Linked DNA regions of Saccharomyces cerevisiae S288C. The protein of the gene in region 2 purifies or fractionates together with the protein of the main gene of each other region. This does not show direct contact. Each region holds a gene or a part of one and is shown on either strand. Other genes may lie near its edges. The genes, in order: YGL140C and MNN5.

What was found.
Region 1: the proteins of MNN5 (region 2) and YGL140C purify together in Saccharomyces cerevisiae (affinity purification with mass spectrometry, with the first as the bait; one large-scale study listed by BioGRID). This does not show direct contact.

Annotation. Positions count from the first base shown.
Region 1 is NC_001139.9:239,967-247,649, forward strand, and holds YGL140C (uncharacterized protein), read right to left. Parts: upstream 5,047-7,683; coding exon 1,387-5,046; downstream 1-1,386. Other genes in the region: ubiquitin-ubiquitin ligase HUL5, read left to right, coding at 1-1,119; FLC3 (putative flavin adenine dinucleotide transporter), read left to right, coding at 5,750-7,683.
Region 2 is NC_001142.9:76,571-82,415, reverse strand, and holds MNN5 (alpha-1,2-mannosyltransferase MNN5), read right to left. Parts: upstream 2,262-5,845; coding exon 501-2,261; downstream 1-500. Other genes in the region: ATG36 (Atg36p), read left to right, coding at 1-321; tyrosine protein kinase SWE1, read left to right, coding at 3,154-5,613. UniProt on the Saccharomyces cerevisiae protein: Responsible for addition of first and second mannose residues to the outer chain of core N-linked polysaccharides and to O-linked mannotriose. Implicated in late Golgi modifications.

The DNA.
Region 1 (7,683 bases), on a different chromosome or scaffold from region 2:
TTGATCAATATGTTTACCCCCTGGGCCTCCACCGGTATGAGGAAGCAATCCGCTATCATCTCTAGGGATAATGTCTTAGAAGATGCTTTCAACGCATTTAACTCTATAGGAGAAAGGTTCAAAGCTTCATTAGATGTTACTTTTATTAATGAATTTGGTGAAGAAGCTGGTATTGATGGGGGCGGCATTACCAAGGAATTTTTAACTACTGTGTCTGATGAAGGATTTAAAGATCCAAAGCACGAGTTATTTCGGACGAATGATCGCTACGAATTATATCCTTCTGTTGTTTATGACGCTACGAAACTTAAGTATATATGGTTTCTGGGAAAGGTTGTAGGCAAATGTCTATATGAGCATGTTTTGATAGATGTATCTTTTGCTGATTTCTTTTTGAAAAAATTATTGAATTACTCGAACGGGTTTTTATCTTCTTTTTCTGATCTGGGAAGCTATGATTCGGTGTTGTATAATAATTTGATCAAATTATTGAACATGACCACTGACGAGATCAAGTCTTTAGATTTAACCTTTGAAATAGATGAGCCTGAAAGTTCCGCAAAAGTTGTTGACTTAATTCCGAATGGTTCAAAAACGTACGTGACGAAGGATAATGTGTTGCTCTACGTTACTAAAGTAACGGATTACAAATTAAACAAAAGATGCTTCAAACCAGTTTCGGCATTCCATGGAGGGCTCAGTGTTATCATTGCCCCACATTGGATGGAGATGTTTAACTCTATAGAACTACAAATGTTAATATCAGGTGAGAGAGATAATATCGATTTAGACGATCTGAAATCTAACACAGAATACGGGGGTTATAAAGAAGAAGATCAGACAATTGTTGATTTTTGGGAGGTTTTGAATGAGTTTAAGTTTGAAGAGAAATTGAATTTTTTGAAATTTGTCACGTCCGTTCCGCAAGCTCCTCTGCAAGGCTTCAAGGCATTAGATCCAAAATTTGGTATCAGAAATGCAGGGACAGAGAAATACAGGCTGCCTACGGCATCTACCTGTGTTAATTTATTAAAATTGCCAGATTATAGAAACAAAACAATTTTGAGAGAGAAATTATTATATGCAATAAACTCAGGCGCCAGGTTTGACTTATCATAATTCCCAGAAGATTAGGGAGGTAATTAATTAATAGGCAGATTTCTAGTTCTTATATATTACTATAGATAAGGAAATTATACGCTTGTATGCAGAGATAATTTAAGTTTTGCTTTGTTCGCCACCATTCTAGTTATGACCTTTATCTATCATTCTATTTTTTATTGGAAAGGCTTTACAAAAAACAAACAGTAAAAATTCTTTAAGCGAAGTGAAATCGACAATGAATATGAAATTGGTAATTATCTTACATTAGGACTTTTCAATATCTTAGTCCTTCTTTTCTTTCATGTGACTTAGCACCATTTTCAAAGCTAATGGCAAATCATCATCAGAGCTTTCATCATCATCGTTCAGATAATTAGGATCCGCATTACCAAGGGTGCTGTGTCTGCTTAAGCTTGAAAGTTGGCCGGAGGTAGAAGTAATGGAAAATGCTCTATTTCTAAATGTCTTTGGTAAGCCATCCGCGTTTTGGCCTGCTTTATGAGAAGCAATCCGTAATAAATTCAACGCTGCCGGATTATCATTTTTTTCGTATGCCACTGGACATTCCGGCTCATAACTTCTTGTGGAATCAGGAGAAATTTGAGATTCATTAGAATTTGTACTTTGTAAACTTTCATTTCCTTCGGAAATGATGGAAGTACCATCAAATGGGGTCCGATTGCGCCGTGTATTCATAGGATTGCTTTTCCCGTTAATGAAATTATCAAATCCTGTTACTGCCTCTGCAGCCCAGTCCTCGTAAAGTGGACGCGATAAAAACCCGTATTTAAACTCATTTACACCGACCAGAATTTTAGTTAAATTCAACAGCTCTTCAATATACTCAATTATTTCTTCCGATGCAGCACTAGATGCGTTCCAACTTAAAAATTTTTCTTTTAAAACATATTCATGAGGATTAGCTGTTGTGTTGGCCTGTCCCCTTCTATTCATTTTCATTACCAAACCTTCGTTATCATCGTCATCTTCATCCTTGCCGTCAGCGTAATCTCCTTCATTTGGCTTTCTTGCTTTATCACTTAAATTTGAAATCTGCCCAGGATATCTTATTCGCAGAGTTTGGCGCACTTTATTAATCAGCCTTCTATGTGCAATTCTTGCGCTGGGCAAAAATTGCGGTAACGGGGTCTTATTTATAAATGCCTCTTGAAGTGCTCTCATTAGGCAAGAAATACTTCCAACCATTTGGCGTCGATATGGATATACAACACTGTTAAATTCTTCAATAACCGCACTTCCATTTTGCTTTCTCAGCAAGGAAATTGTATCTATCCTCTCTATTATTTGCTTCTGAATAAATATAACTTGAGTGAAAACATTTTCCAACTCGGTATATTCACCCTTTAATCTCGGCTCTTGTCTGGTTAGTCCTTTATAGGCCGTAGCACGGGCTAACGCCTCTTTAGCACTTTTTGATATCTTTTCGATTTTTTTGTATTTCTCTTCACTCATACTACTTGCGACTTGCTCTCCTTCCAGTCCGGTGGCGTAGAGAAGTTCCATTTCCGATATACAGCCACAGACAAAAGAAATCTCTTCATTTAATTGTTCCCGTGCCTTCAATGGAAAGAAAAAGACTTGAACTATTAATGCTACCCCTCCACCATAGCCGACAGCTAAACATCTCTTGGCGAAACTAGTCAATATATCATCTTGGGAGGGAAGTATTGCTGCAAGCATAACAATATAAATACTAATAATTTCAATAATTGCAGCCTTCACATAGGGTGTGCCTAATAAATAGTAAAACCCAGGAATGGCTCCAAAAACTGTGATGACTGTCTCCAAATATGGATTGGTTTGGTTGACAGCAGCAACATAGGAAAGATAACCCCAGGCTGCTCCAAAAATAACCCCCACAGCACGCAAAAAGAAGACCCAGAACGTACCTCCTACGGAAGGTTCCAAACAAAGTATGCACACGAAACCAATCCAGGTACCACGATAGTCTATGTACCACTGCCTTGTCTTTGGAATAAACATCGGAAATGAAGCCAGCATTAATGCAATGGCTACCTGAAATCCAAATCTAAAGTGAGGATGTGACACTTCACAAAACTTATCAATTGAAATAAGCATGGACATAAAAGAAAATCTGCCTTGCCTCCTGGAAGTTCTATTAGTTCCGAACGTAGTTGTTTTCGTTAACGTTAATGGCGACGAAGAAGTGTCAGAGGTAGAAGATGAATTTCCTTTGGGTTCACTTGTCATTGGCAGATCTAGCGATGCATCATCTTTTACAATGTTCTTATTCGATGAAACTTTTTGAGATAAAAGTTCATTCTCTTCATAATCAGGCCTTCTAATAACTGTGTCATGAGCAAAACCATTAGTATTACCATTGAACGTACCCTTTAATGTATCATTTTCAGTCACTGAGTTCCTATCGCCTTTTAACCAGATAGAAAATGTCTCGTAGTTGGTCAACACTAAAAACCAAAGTCTTTTGCCTCTCAGCCAGCCCTTCTTCTCTTGTATTTGACGTTTGACTAAAATGTCCTTGACGGACTCCATAATTACCAAAGTTGAATCTGCAGTTTGCCTAAAATTTAGTAGAAAGCTAGACAACAAAAACATTTCATCACTAGGACTCATAATATCAATATCAAAACTTAACATTTCTGACTTGAATTTTGCTTTACATTCTTCTAACGCCTGCTTCAGGTCATTGATCTTGTTCTGGATGTCAACATCATTGGGCAGATTATTGGCGTTATTACTGAATGTTGGGAAGTTACCATCTTTGAACATTGAGCAGGAATGAACCCTTGAAACTTTCACATCAAATGCATGAGCAAGTACCAACTTTGCTATGTACATGCATTCACTCATTGTCCGGTGTAGACTATAAATCACTGGATGCAACTTGTCAATAACTTTCAACAACTTCTCAGCATTTGCAAAGCTGATTTCTTTGTTCTTTGGCAGTGTCAAAGCTGCGACATCATCAGGCCTGAGCTTGTTATCATGTCTTGCCAATAAAATAAATTCTAATTGGCATGTATTAACTAATCCATTAATGAAGACTGTCAAATTTTCCAAAGTAGATATGATTGGCTTTAGTTTAGTTGGCGAAACATAAGCGTAAGTAAACTCATAAATGCACTCGTGAAGTACTACTCGACAGTTGTTAACTTTAGAAGAAATCAGTGACTTCATCTTCAATAGCTTGCCTAACGAAACAGGATCTCTACTGTACAACTGGCTACTATTGTGCGGGTCAACTGCAATGAAGAAATTTATCGAATAGTCAATGGACTTATGGAGCTCATTCATAGCATCAATAGTCGTATTACCCAAATATGTGGTACCCCACTCAGGAAACAACACAAGATTCCAGAAAATCGACATTGCAATACCCAGGTAGAAAGGCGTACTATAAGCTTTAGCAATAGTGCCTGCTGTTTCATTCAAAGGATCCATAAATGCGAAATGAACCACGACAAAAAGTGGGAAAACAATACCAAAGTAATAGTGTGATACAGATCTCATCCAACCATGAAAAAAAAGCATAATTACTTCGAAAACAGCCAAAATTGCTAATCCCGCTTCATATCTTTTATAGTGCAATACGTGCTGCTGTGCCTCTGTTAGCTCATGCCAAGAACTCCCTAAACATCGCTGCGCAAGGAACCGGCCGAAGATTGCGTAAGCTAGGCCAAATATCAATCCAGTTATGCAATAGATAGCACCATGGATAGTACCCCCGACCCTTCTTCCAGGGTGAACAATAACAGAAATCATTGGCAGCATCGCAGGAGCTGCTCCCAAATGCGCAGTTATCTTAGGTATCAAGCAAAATATGAAAGCTACCGTAGTATTAACAGTCGATTTACATATTCTCTTCGCGAGGATTCTGTCACAGGGGAAATAATACAGCCATAACTTCTGAATCTTAGTCAACTTTGATTTAAGCGACATGGACAAATAATGAAGTCAAGCAATTGATGCAAAGGATAAGGAAGATTTTCTCGCTTGAAAATATGTTCTCTTCGAACTCCAGGATAGGATAGGAATAAAGTAAAAATAGTGTATGATACGTAGTTAGGCCACAACCACAATTATAACCTCTCGATAGCAGGTGTTAATAGAGATGAAGGTAGATCCTGGATTTCTCTTTTCTTTCTTTAGACATCAAACTGGTAGTTCTTATCAGTCTCAGCCTTTTGAAGACCTATCAATTTTATGAGGAGGGTAATGGTTGCTTCCTTTTCCCTAGCAGCGGCCCATCGCTTTAGCTTCAAATAGTTGATTCCTTTAACTGTTGACTATGAAAAGGTAGTCTTCGTTGGGATTGGGGATAAAAGAATATCTGAATACTGTTGCTGTCCGTGCCATTTACTAGCTTACGGACGCTATCAAATTAACTCAAAAACGCTTCTGTTCATCCGCTTTCCAGAAGATCAACGCTCAAAAGACAACAAAACAATTCGAAGACGTCATTCGTTATAGAGTGCCAATCAACATTGGTGGGTACTAGAAAACTTCTTTGCAAAGTATAGCTAAGAAAGGTCTTTTTATTTACGAGCGGGCCATAAATAAAAAAATTTCAACAACAACAACAACAACAACAACAACAACAACAACAAATAGTGGAGACTAGAAAAGTATACCCCTCACAGGCATGAGATTTCTTCAGGTTTATAAATCATCGGCATTAATTGGACTAATAATATTGTTAGCCAGTAAAGTAAATCTTGCAGAGGCAAAAAGGAAGCTGGTAGCCACATCATTGGTCACATGTATGGAAAACTCGCAGCTGTCAGCAAATAGTTTTGACGTTGTTTTCAATCCAGACGACAGGTCATTACATTATGATCTTGATATGTCAACTCAAATTGATTCATATATTTTTGCTGATATTGATGTCTACGCATATGGTTTCAAGATCATTACTAAAAATGTCGATCTTTGTTCAATCAACTGGAAACAGTTTTGCCCGGTTCACCCAGGTAATATTCAGATCGACTCTATTGAATACATCTCCAGTGAGTACGTAAATGAAATTCCTGGTATTGCATACCAAGTCCCCGATATCGACGCATATGCCAGGGTCAAGATCACCAACAATGTGAGCGAGTACCTAGCATGTATCCAAATATACTTCTCAAACGGTAAAACAGTTTCTCAGATTGGTGTAAAATGGGCAACTGCAGTGGTAGCGGGAATTGGTCTTTTACTATCTGCCATCTTATCCACTTTTGGGAACTCTACCGCAGCCTCACATATTTCTGCCAACACAATGTCACTTTTCTTATACTTCCAATCTGTTGTCGTGGTTGCCATGCAACATGTTCATCGAGTTCCGCCTATTGCAGCCGCCTGGGCGGAAAACTTGGTTTGGTCAATGGGGTTAATTAGAATCTCATTCATGCAAAGGATTTTCCGGTGGTATGTGCAATCCACTGGTGGTACGCCTAGCTTATATCTGACTTCAACATCTATGTCTGTTTTGGCTCAAAGAAGTTGGCAATATTTGATGGAGCTCCCATTAATCAAAAGAGCTACCAATGTTTTGTATGGTAATGCAAATACATTAATTTTTAGAGGAATCAAAAGGCTAGGCTATAAAATGGGAATCGAAAATACGTCCATCGTTTGTACCGGTTTTACTTTCTTCGTCTTATGTGGATATGTGTTGGCTGGATTTATCATAGTATTCAAATGCTGTGTGGAGTTAGCCACCCGGTTAGGATGGATCCAAAAGGCAAGGTTTTGGGAATTCAGGAAACAATGGAGAATGATCTTAAAAGGTGCTCTTTTAAGATATATTTACATCGGTTTCGTTCAGTTAACAATTCTCAGTTTTTGGGAATTTACTGAAAGAGATTCACCTGCTGTTATCGTCATCGCATGCCTTTTTATTCTTTTGTCATGTGGGTTAATGCTTTGGGCTGCATGGAGGACTGTTTTTTTCGCAAGAAGATCTGTTGCATTGTACAACAACCCAGCAGCCTTATTGTATGGAGATGAATATGTCTTACACAAATACGGATTTTTCTATACAATGTTCAATGCCAATCATTACTGGTGGAACATTGTTCTTTTATCCTACATTTTTGTAAAATCATTATTGGTTGGATTTGCTCAGGCTTCTGGTCAAACACAAGTTCTTTTCATGTTCATATTGGATTTGTTTTACTTCGTTGCTATTATCTACTATAAGCCCTATCTGGACCGTCCAACAAACATAATGAATATTTTAATTGCTACTGTTACTGTAGTTAATTCCTTTCTATTCATGTTTTTTTCGGACTTGTTTAACCAAAGCTACAAAGTGGCTGCTATTATGGGATGGATATTTTTCATTATGAACGCTGCATTTTCGTTCATTTTACTAATGATGATATTGGCATTCGCTGGTATGATGCTTTTCTCAAAGAACCCCGATCTAAGATTTAAACCTGCTAAGGACGATAGAACTTCTTTCCAAAGGAACACTATGAAACCAGAAGGTACTGTTAATAGATCAGTAGCGAACGAGTTGCTTGCGTTGGGCAATGTGGCAAAAGACCATGACGACAATTCAGATTACGAATCAAATGATACTGGTGTGAA
Region 2 (5,845 bases):
AGAGACTTGTATCCAATTCTAAGAACATGCTACCGCGAGAAAACTCGCCGGCAATTATTGACATACCATCATGAAAGAATATTTGACGATATACCATCTTTTTTCCCCCAGCGTGACTTTATTTTCAATTACTACTCGATGCCTCTTGAATTCGACAGGTTGTCAGACGTAGATATAGATTCGTCATCGCGGTCACGATTTACAGATGAGAGCACTGGAGAAACATTAAACCGTTCACCAAGCGCAGCGTCTTCGTCGTTGGAAAACACATCTTGGTTTGGCTGGACTTTACTTTCTAGGTTTTTGGACAGAGAATGGTAGAAGAAAGTTAGATACCCTCATTCTAAAACGTTGTCCGAACACCATCAGTTAGTTTTTTCTTGGTTTCATTTTTTCATTTTTTTCTAAGATGTATATATATCCGTGCACATATATGCTACATTATATTATACAAGGTCGGATGGCGAGTTATTATTAAATTATTATAGTTAATCACTTCATTAGTTTTTCTCCCCCATAGCTTCTTTGTGTGTGCTCTCCAGATAATTAACATGATTGGTCAAATACTCACACATTGCATCCCATTCTGGGGTATTAACTTTATCGGTAAAATACTTGAATTTAATAACTTGGCTTTTCGGAGTGGTACAGAAGGACCCCCTCATATCATTGAATAAAAACAATTCAAAATCCATTCCATAGCGATGCGGCTTCCTGAAGCCCCGTACTTGTTCGCCATTTGGACCGATAAATCTGTTTTCATGATAAAGAGTCCATGGATCTGCCTTGTAGAAACTGGCATGAATGAACATGATATCCAAATCAGAACCGTCATCATTAACCATCAAAGTTTTCAAGAAACCATTGTCCAAAGTATAATCTGGATCCAGTTTGGAAAATTCCTCAATGTTGGCTTTAACTTTCTGCTGCGCCTTTTGGTATTGCTTGTAATCTTGTTCAAAATCATGCTGGAGCAAGGCGAGACCCTTGTAATCATCTTTTTGATAGAAGAAACCATCAAATTCAAAGTTAGTCCTCACTTGATAGTATGGCATATTCAAGGCATGGGCAGCAGCGACGAAAGTGTCTTTGTCACCTTCACCGGCAGTGCCTTGAGAAATCATCTTATAATACCAGGTAGGCCCATAAACATTATAGTATAGCGCCAGTAATAGAGTGTTGAAATGGCGAATCTTATCAATCACCATCTGGCCTGATTCAGAGCTCAAGTCTGGCATCGTGCCGTCCAGATCATGTAAGGGAACATGTTTCAGGAAATGCTCCTGTCTCTCCTTTGGAGTGTAATCGTTTGAGTTACTAACAAATGGATCATAACGTGACACGGGGGAAATATCGTCACTAACAAAACGGACTCTTTTGCCGATGTTAATGCTAGATCCTATAATGTTGTAAAAGGCGGGAGGGGTGACACGTCTCCAAAAATCGGGCCACAATATCAGGCCAGTATCGTTGAAGGATGTAGTGTTAAAAGCAAGGTCAAGGTTTTTCACCGCATAGTTATCTGCGTCCAAGAAGATAATACGCTTGAAACTGGAAATTATCAACCCAAAGACTTTCAACTGGAAGTGCGTGAGTTTTAAATCGCTTAATGGCTTTGAAGGAACGATATCTGAGAAATAAATGCACTTACCATTGAATTTCGGCAACCAGTTCTTACAAAAATCATCCTCGCCTTCGTCCTGAGGCGGAATGATGACTTCAATAGGCAATGTAGTACCCGTGTCCCTCAACTTTTTGATCATCGTATACGCGAGCACAGAATACTTTCCACCTCCAATGGTGACAATGCCCTCAGAACCTGAGAAAAGTGCCTCTCTTTGTGGGATGGAAAAATTCAGTTTCCCTGATAAGGTGTCTGTAAACTTACTGTGCACTTCTCGTAGGCTTTCTTGTACTGTTTTATTCAAATTATAGCATTTACTCAAGCTCTCGTAACTTAAGTCACTATCGTGTCCAGAGTCGTGTGCAGCAACGTTATTTGCAAAGCTACACCCTTCCGCCCCATGCAACTTACTCAAGTCCGGAGACGAATCTGCCGGCTTGTTTTCCACGATGGCTTGTACCAGTGTTGTGTAAAAATTGTTTTTAAGGTTCGACCTTGTTAGAACCGGCAATCTAAGCTTTTTACCGTATAACCAACTAGAAGACACATCATTATGCACAGAACAAAAAAATAAAATTAGCACTACTGCGCTCACGATGACCTGCAGGATTTTTCTCTTCTTTAACCTAATCAGCATTGTAACCTGAACTATTAGTATATCCTCTTGTTGTGCTAGGAACCAGTCGTAAAATAAAAATTTCCAATAACCGTGAAAATGCTTTTTTCATATCTGCGTATATATAAAACACTTTAAAGCCGTGTTGATCCTTTAGTTGTTACACTTTTTTTTCCCCGCCGATGAGAAAGTGAAAAAAAAAATCCGCAAGAACGGGGAAAAAGATAAAAGAAGGCACTTATCTCTCTGAACTCTGCACCGAAACATGCATCTGTCGTCTATTCCGACTTGGCAACCAAAAGAAGCCCAAGAGCTAGTTGCACTTAAATCAGTAGAATCGTGAGATTGTTTATTATCTTACTTCTGTTAGAGTGCTTCGCTTTCCATGCATCAAACTATGGATTTGTGCTGATCTTGCAACCATCGTCCTCTAAGGAAAGAAATGTGGCACCTTTAAATAGGTTCCACCTCACAGATGCCAACATGTGGGAGATAGGGGGCTATTCGCAATTTATTAACGTCTCTAGTACTGGTAAGCCTTTCTAACATTCTTGTGGTCACGTGATGTGTATGTTTCTTTTTTTTATTCCTCCGGGTGATAACGACGCGAAAAATATTTTTTCATTTTTCTTTTAACCATCACAATTTGCGACGCGACGCGAAAAAAATGCAGAGAAGTAAAAGAATGCTGGATAAGAAATCAACAACACAGTTGAACATTGGCGTGCCCCTGTGTATTAAGTAAAGGTTGTCCAAGAGGCTCTTTTTTGTATGTATGCGTGTGTTAACTATCCTGCACATCATCTTGCGCAGTTAGTCCAATAAAAAAAGGATTACTACTGAACAGGTCTTACTATTTTTGATTGCGTAGTGCTGGGGAAAAGTAAACACACACAGGCGCACACGAGAACAGATGAGTTCTTTGGACGAGGATGAAGAGGACTTCGAAATGCTGGACACGGAGAACCTCCAGTTTATGGGGAAGAAGATGTTTGGCAAACAGGCCGGCGAAGACGAGAGTGATGATTTTGCTATAGGGGGTAGCACCCCGACCAATAAACTGAAATTTTATCCATATTCGAACAACAAATTGACAAGAAGTACGGGGACCTTGAACCTGTCATTAAGTAATACAGCTTTGTCAGAGGCTAACTCCAAATTTCTTGGGAAAATTGAAGAAGAGGAAGAAGAGGAGGAAGAAGGCAAGGATGAGGAAAGCGTGGATTCTCGTATTAAAAGGTGGTCTCCGTTCCATGAAAATGAAAGTGTTACTACTCCTATTACAAAAAGATCTGCGGAAAAAACGAACAGTCCTATTTCTCTCAAACAATGGAACCAGCGATGGTTTCCGAAAAATGATGCTCGCACTGAAAATACATCCTCATCCTCTTCATATAGCGTCGCTAAACCTAACCAATCAGCCTTTACGTCTTCGGGCCTCGTATCTAAAATGTCTATGGACACTTCGTTATACCCTGCGAAATTGAGGATACCAGAAACACCAGTGAAAAAATCACCCTTAGTGGAGGGAAGAGACCATAAGCATGTCCACCTTTCGAGTTCGAAAAATGCATCGTCTTCTCTAAGTGTTTCCCCTTTAAATTTTGTTGAAGACAATAATTTACAAGAAGACCTTTTATTTTCAGATTCTCCGTCTTCGAAAGCTTTACCTTCCATCCATGTACCAACCATAGACTCATCCCCACTGAGCGAGGCAAAATATCATGCACATGATCGTCACAATAACCAGACAAACATCCTGTCTCCCACTAATAGCTTGGTTACCAACAGCTCTCCACAAACATTGCATTCTAACAAGTTCAAAAAAATCAAAAGAGCAAGGAATTCGGTTATTTTGAAAAATAGAGAGCTAACAAACAGTTTACAACAATTCAAAGATGATTTATACGGCACGGACGAGAATTTCCCACCTCCAATCATAATATCAAGTCATCATTCAACTAGAAAGAACCCTCAACCTTATCAATTTCGTGGACGCTATGACAATGACACTGACGAAGAGATCTCCACTCCAACAAGACGAAAATCTATTATTGGGGCAACATCTCAAACACATAGAGAAAGCAGACCATTGTCACTCTCCTCTGCCATCGTGACAAACACAACAAGTGCAGAGACGCATTCCATATCTTCCACCGATTCTTCGCCGTTAAATTCCAAAAGGCGTCTAATCTCTTCAAATAAGTTATCAGCAAATCCAGATTCCCATCTTTTCGAAAAATTTACGAATGTGCATTCCATTGGTAAAGGCCAGTTTTCCACGGTCTACCAGGTTACGTTTGCCCAAACAAACAAAAAGTATGCAATCAAAGCCATTAAACCAAACAAATATAATTCCTTGAAACGCATATTACTGGAAATTAAAATACTAAACGAGGTAACAAACCAAATTACAATGGATCAAGAAGGGAAGGAATACATCATCGATTACATCAGTTCCTGGAAGTTTCAAAATTCATACTATATTATGACAGAATTGTGCGAAAATGGTAATTTGGATGGATTTTTACAAGAGCAAGTTATCGCAAAGAAAAAAAGGTTGGAAGATTGGAGAATTTGGAAAATCATCGTGGAATTAAGCCTGGCTTTACGATTCATCCATGATTCTTGTCACATTGTGCATCTGGACTTGAAACCCGCAAACGTCATGATCACATTTGAAGGTAACCTAAAACTAGGTGACTTTGGAATGGCTACTCATTTACCGTTGGAGGATAAAAGTTTTGAAAATGAAGGTGACAGAGAATATATTGCACCAGAAATCATTTCTGATTGTACGTACGATTACAAGGCAGATATTTTTTCCCTGGGTCTGATGATTGTTGAAATTGCAGCGAACGTTGTGTTACCTGACAATGGCAACGCATGGCATAAGTTGAGATCGGGTGATTTATCGGATGCAGGAAGATTAAGTTCCACAGATATTCATTCTGAATCATTATTTTCAGACATTACGAAAGTAGATACAAATGATTTATTTGATTTTGAAAGAGACAATATCAGTGGTAATAGTAACAACGCTGGCACCTCCACTGTTCATAACAATAGTAATATCAACAACCCTAATATGAATAATGGCAACGATAATAATAATGTCAATACTGCCGCTACCAAGAATCGTCTTATTTTGCATAAAAGTTCTAAAATTCCCGCATGGGTACCGAAATTTCTTATTGATGGTGAATCACTTGAGAGAATAGTACGATGGATGATAGAGCCCAATTATGAGAGAAGGCCCACGGCAAATCAAATCTTACAAACTGAGGAATGCCTGTATGTAGAAATGACACGCAATGCAGGTGCTATTATCCAGGAAGACGACTTTGGACCTAAGCCAAAATTTTTTATATGATAAATGGAACAAAAAACCTTGTTTTATTTACATACTTTTTTCCCACACGTGCTTATGGGCCGCATTGTATAAATAATCCAATAACGAAAAAGAGTGTAATTGCAGTCCGGTAGTAATACCATGTAAAACCTTAGATGAGTTTATTTTAAGTACAGCCGCTTCAAGCATTTTTATTTTTATTTTACAGATGTAGCAGATAACAACCGTTAAATTATATTATATATATATATAT